2 linked regions of the Kluyveromyces lactis genome follow. The protein of the gene in region 2 interacts with the protein of the main gene of each other region in a biochemical or structural test. Links are inferred from orthologs where the notes say so. Each region holds a gene or a part of one and is shown on either strand. Other genes may lie near its edges.

The links.
Region 1: the proteins of PAT1 (region 2) and LSM2 form a complex in vitro, tested with the Saccharomyces cerevisiae proteins (2 studies listed by BioGRID). The link is inferred for Kluyveromyces lactis from reciprocal best matches to the Saccharomyces cerevisiae genes PAT1 and LSM2.

What each region holds. Positions count from the first base shown.
Region 1 is NC_006042.1:854,601-856,861, reverse strand, and holds LSM2 (Sm-like protein LSM2), read right to left. Parts: upstream 807-2,261; coding exon 519-806; downstream 1-518. Other genes in the region: KLLA0_F09229g (uncharacterized protein), read left to right, coding at 6-395; GDI1 (Gdi1p), read right to left, coding at 1,211-2,261. UniProt on the Saccharomyces cerevisiae protein: Component of LSm protein complexes, which are involved in RNA processing and may function in a chaperone-like manner. Component of the cytoplasmic LSM1-LSM7 complex which is involved in mRNA degradation by activating the decapping step.
Region 2 is NC_006042.1:2,529,359-2,533,298, reverse strand, and holds the start of PAT1 (deadenylation-dependent mRNA-decapping factor PAT1), read right to left. Parts: upstream 2,352-3,940; coding exon 1-2,351. Other genes in the region: RQC2 (Rqc2p), read left to right, coding at 3,071-3,940. UniProt on the Saccharomyces cerevisiae protein: Activator of decapping that functions as a general and active mechanism of translational repression and required for P-body formation. First decay factor recruited to mRNA, at a time when the mRNA is still associated with translation factors.

The sequences.
Region 1 (2,261 bases), about 1.7 Mb from region 2:
CTATCATGGCGGATGCAGACAAGATTATTAAACAGTCTGAGGCGCTTGATCAACTAGCCAAACTAGTGTTATCTCAGTCCCAAAAAAAGCAGTCGACTCTCCCGTCTTTAAAAGAGGAATACGAGAACAAACTGAAGAACGTTGATGAGCTCATCTCGATGATTACATCCGTTGAACTGGATAAAGAGAAGTTCTCAAAAATGATTTCGAAACAAATTGAGATTATTCAGAAAGACGGTCAAGAATATGCTCTAATTCCAGTACAAAGAACTCCTAAACAAGCCAAATTTGGAAAACGAAAGTCTAAAGCTAACAACATTAAATGTTCTTATTGCAATGAAACTGGACACCTCCGATCAAAATGTGAGAAGAAACTCTTGGGAGTTCCACCATGATAGGTAATGTGTTCTATTATTACATATGTGAATAGTGTGAGAGTGGTAGACTCGAATGATATTTAACAGTTATAAATTATTCCTTTCTGCAGCAGGAACCCTGTTTTTCGCTGCTTCTTTCGTTTACTTTCTTTCACTCATTAATTCTCTTCTGGTTGCATCTTGAAGTAGGTTGGTATCCACCATAGATTTCTTCAAATGTACATACCTCACAGTAGAACCTCTGATGAACATGTTCCTCACGCTTGATAGATGTGGATATTTTTCATTATTGTTGGACGAAATGTTGTCTAATTTTAAGTTCAAAAATTGGTCGACTGATTTTAGAGTACCTGTTAGTTCAATACCGTTCTTTAGTTCGACTTTGACTTCATGATCAACCAGGGTCTTGAAAAATGAAAATAATAGCATGGTTCTGGACAGTACGGCCTTGGTTCAGAGGTCCATGCATTTGACTTTTGAATGTGTTGTAGTTGTATTGTCAAATTTCAACATGAAATTGTTTTAAACAATTTCATGTTGAAGGAAAAAAAAAAGATACATGTACAAAATTGACATACACAACTTCATATGTAGAAGTAGAGAAGCTGCTGGACTTAAGAGGACTAGCTGGGATATTTTTACGTCGATTGCTGAAATAAAACTATTGCCAAAACATTCAAGCTAATATGTGGGGCTAGATAGTAAATAGACAAAAATAAAATGATAATGATAAAGATTGTAACGAAACAAGAAAGTAACGTAAAAGTACGTAGAAGTACGTGAAGGTACGATATTTTCAAAAGTTAGCATCACGGTTATCTCGTAGTTCTCACTTACTCCTCTGCAACATCTTCTCTCTTCTTTAAAACAAGGGGGTGACCAGTAATCCTAAAGTAGATATCCTTGACATCGTCGGTCATGGATTCGAAGTGAGATGAGGAATCGTAAGATTTAGAGATGTAAATGTTGTCTTTAGTGCCATCTTCGATCGGTTCAAAGATTTCTGAAATACCCATGAACCTCTCCTCAATTGGGCCCAACATTTTGAAAGCCGGCTCTAATTCGATATGAGGTTTATCAGTTTCAATGATGGTTGATACACTGGCGAGGTAATGACCCTTCGAAGTAACTTTATGGGCGTCAGAGACAGTAGCAATATAAATGTCGTTCTTTCTTCCAACTTGTGATTGTGGTATAATTATTTGGCAAGAATCAGCATTACTAGTGTTAGGAACAGGTTGTTTAGTGATGCAAATTGCTCTGATCACCTTTTCACCTGTAGTTTTACATTTCTCAGGGAAGTATGTTGGATCTGCGATGACTATTGGTGCTTTTGCAGTACCTTCTTTGGTGACAATACCTTCGAATTTACCATCGTCTGAGTATAAAACCTTTTCAATTGGGGTATTTAGCATGTATGTCCCACCGTAAATAGCTGATAATCTAGCAAATCCTTGAGGCAATTCGCCCAACCCATACATAGGGTAAATATATGGAGATTTACCAAACCTGGAAATCGATTGCACATATAGGATAATTCTTTCCACTGATGGTCTAGCAGGTTGTTGCAGATAATCGTCATTGGTCCAAAGGGCCATTGCGTGTCCAATAAATTCTCTGGTTGAATTTCCTAAGCCAAATTTGTAGTATACCTCATCCATAGTGTTTTGATCCAAGTTTAAGCCCTGATGTGTGGCGATATCTTCTTCATTGTATGCACTGATCCATTCCAAGAACTTCTTCATCCTTCTTTTCTCGAAGATACCCAATAAAGAAGATGAAATAGCCTCCATTTCGTTAGCAGGAACTTTATATACTTTACCTCTGTTGTAAACGTACGAGCCAGCAACTTGCTTGAACTCGATATATCTGGTGACGTCAGTA
Region 2 (3,940 bases):
GAATCCTGTTCATAAACTGAAATGGCGTGTTGCATATATTCAGGTGTTGGGAAAATTGCAGTCAATTTTGTTTCTAAAGAAGTAAATAGCCTATCATAGACTTCACTCCAAGTGGATACTTCCACAGAAGACAACAGTTTGCCCCTGCTAACATCTTGTTTCATCAAAGCAGCACGTGAAATGAGCACGGTAATCAAATTCAAACCGATACGCGATGTGGTGATGAAAGAAACGTTATTATTCTGAATGACATTTATTAGTAGACTCATTACCTCCAAAAACTCTGCTGAACTGGATAAGAACGAAACAATGATCTTCAAAAACACAGATTGGAACAATTCCATCTTCTTCAGTTGATCTTTAGTAGGAAGTGGAGTAGTCTTGTACGATGATATGACAATGACATTCAAATGAGAAAGTTCCTTGAAGAAGCAGTTGAAAAGCTTAATCTTCTCTTCTCTTGACAAGAAATTCATAATACGTGGCATAATCTTGATACCTTTGTCGAAAGATAAGATGGAAATGAAGGGAGAAACGTCAAAACCGTGGTCCTCAACGTGTAGCGCCTCCCATAATTTTGAACTGTCCGGCTGTTGACCGGATCTCAATTGAGCTTCTAGTTCAAGCACTTCTTCGTAAACAGTTTCAATCAATGATAAAATGAACTTACGGCCACCAGAACGGGATAAAACTGTACGATGGTCCACTGAAGAACTCAAAGCATAAGATGATCTTCTTCTTTTGGCATTGATATCCACGCCTTGCAAAGATTCAGACACCTCATCTAGGGCTGAGCTTGATTGAGAAGACAACGCTGGAGAATCCTCTTTGTGAGTTGGGATTTGTAATTGCTTTCTTGGAGCTTTTGAGTTCCTAGTAGCTGAGATTTTACCCAAGACACCCTCTTTGGCATTATCCAACCCACCCTTACTTTTCTGTGGTCTTTCTTTCGCAACGGTAACAGCCTTCTCGACCTGAGATTGCATTCTCTGTAACGCGACGTCAGTTCTCTTGTAACGACCTCCTAATCTGTGACCCGAGTGCTCTAAATATGCTTTAGCAATAGAATCCTTATTAGATTCAGATGGAGTGACACCCCTTTGAATGATTTTATAAACTTGGAAGTAGAAATCCTCATTGTAGGGATCATCAGTGACAATTTGAGATAACTGATACCTGGTGATAAAATCCTTGTCTCTTGGAGTCATTACACCAGAGTGTCTGAGAATTTTGTCAACCTTCGATTGTCTGATTTGAAGACGTCTCAATTCTTCATCAGTCAAAGGATCTTGGGTGCCAAACCTCCTTGGACCACGGCGATACTCTCTAGGTGTATGAGGTGGAGTTGGCACCTGCTCTGATTCTGTTGGCACAGGTGTTGGAGAGTTAGAATGCTCATAATCTTGAGTAGAACGGACAGCTTGGGTTCTAGCAGCAGTGTCAACGGAGTGAGGCTGTTGGAACACTTGTTGCTGTTGGTGTTGTTGTTGGTGCTGCTGATCTTGTTGGTGTTGTTGAGGCAAGTATTGGGGAGGTAACTGCTGTTGGTGGGGCTGCTGGGGCTGAACAGGAGGTTGATTTTGCATTGGTGGCATAGCCATCTGCGGATGTTGCATATGATGTGCAATGTTTCCTTGTGTTTGATTGTACATTATCGGTGGTACTTGTTGGAATTGTTCCTGAGGGTTAACAGGTTGATTAGGAAATCCGGCATTACCGAATTGATTAGGGATAACAGGGGGAATATTTTGCCCAGGGAATTGCTGGTATTGACCTTGAGGGAACCCTTGTGGAATAAAGCCGTAGCCAGGGTTCTGCGGAGGTTGCATACCATAGAATCCAGGTTGAGGCGGCATAGCCATCTGTTGTTGTCTGTCTAAAGATTGAATGGCCAATCCTTCCACATTAGGTGCACCTTGCTGTTGAACCTGTGGTGGGGCTTGGAATTGTGTAGGGGCTTGAGGTTGCACCTGTTGTTGCTGATTACCGGAGCTGTTACCCCATAAAGATTCCATAGGTTGCATGTCCAGCGATTGTTCGAAACCAGGTTTACAGTCTGCTTGTCTGTTCATTTTGGCATTTGCAATAGATGCATAAGAAACAGGAGCTGGTGCTGGTGCCCTACCAGAACCTGAACCAGCGCCAAGCTCCCCTTTACCGTAACCAAAATCAAAATCTGTACCCAGATCCGCTCCAGTACCAAAAGTTTCATCATTGAGCAAATCATCTTCCTCTGGCTCATAATCACCCAAGCCTTGATACGTTTCTTCGAAATCTAAAGAATCCTCCTCGCCTTGCTGTTTCCTCTCACGAGGTTTTCGGCCCGTGGCGTCAAAACCGAAGAATGACATCGTTCAGTGATTCAGGAATATAAGGACTCCTATACTAATTGGGCAAAAATCGATTTCTAGATCAGAATTGTCGACAAATCCTATTATATTCTCTTAAAAACACAAGTAATGTGATTTAAGTCGCTACCTGCCTGCGTTTCGTTCAAGCAATCTTCCAACAAACGGTCTCTGAATATCTCTGATCACTTATTTTTGAGCATAGAAACTACTTTGCTTGTTAAGTGAATTACATTTTTGGGTTGTTGTTTGATGAAAAATTTCACCGTGCAAGATGATATACATATTAAGGATTTCTAGTTCAAAATTTGAAATTCAGGTCATGTGATTTCAAATATTTGACATTTTTCAACATGGTAGTTTAGAAAGTTCCAATACAAACTCGTACGTAGTCTTTCTTTCCTTCATTAGCAGCATATATAAAGTGATTGCGAATAGACAAAGATGACATATACTACTAACATCCTAGGTACAGCTATCTGGAAAATATATCAGCTTAGCAGTTTAGTCTTAAACCTAAGTAATAAAAGATATCTGATCTAATAGCAGTGACCAAGTTCTAATAATTTTAATCTGATTAGCAGTGAAAATACTGATTTGTATGAAGATCTGAATCAAGTATAGTGCTCGAAAAGAATCAACTCAGACTGGTAAAGTGGACTTAACTGCAACTTGGAGAGTACGAAATATCTAAACTATAATCTTGGATTTGATACTAGAAAATGAAACAGAGATTGAGTTCGTTAGATTTGCAACTGATATCCAAAGAGTTGGAGAATCAAATTGTAGGATTTCGCTTAAGAAATATCTATAACATTGCTGACTCAAACAGGCAATTCTTATTAAAGTTTGGAAAACCCGATTCCAAGTTAAACGTTGTCATTGATTGCGGATTGCGAGTTCATACTACTGACTTTACCAGGCCGATTCCCCCGACTCCTTCGTGGTTTGTTTCCAAATTGAGATCGTATTTGAAAGAAAAACGATTGACGGCAGTTAAGCAGATCCCAAATGACAGAATAATTGTGTTTACTTTTGCTGATGGTAAGTACTACCTTGTTTTAGAATTTTTCAGTGCCGGAAATGTGCTTTTATTGGATGCTGACCAAAAAATTCTTTTACTACAGAGAGTTGTCGATGATTATTCGATGAAAGTTGGTGAATTTTATGACATGGCCAACTTTGCAGAAATTAACCAAACTTCAACTACGGTTCCTGATCCTAAGGAATATTTCGAAAATGAAATAGCAGATTGGTTGAAAGAAGCCGACGTTAAAGCCAAAAGCACAATTGTGCCCGGAGAGGCTAAAAAAGGTAAACTCAAGGGAAAAGCATCTGTTCCGTCTATTCAAAAACTTTTATTTGTTCATGCTCCACATTTATCAAGTGATTTGATTCAAAACTCGTTGAAAGCTATTGGTATTGATCCATCTTCTTCGTGTCTTGAGTTTAAACACAATGTCTCTGTGCTTGTTGACTTAATGTCCTCATTAGAAGTTCAAGCAAATAAATTGATCTCGACTACGTCAACAAGAATAGGTTATATAGTGGCTCATAAGAACAAACTGTACGATCCTTTAAGAGACAAGCCG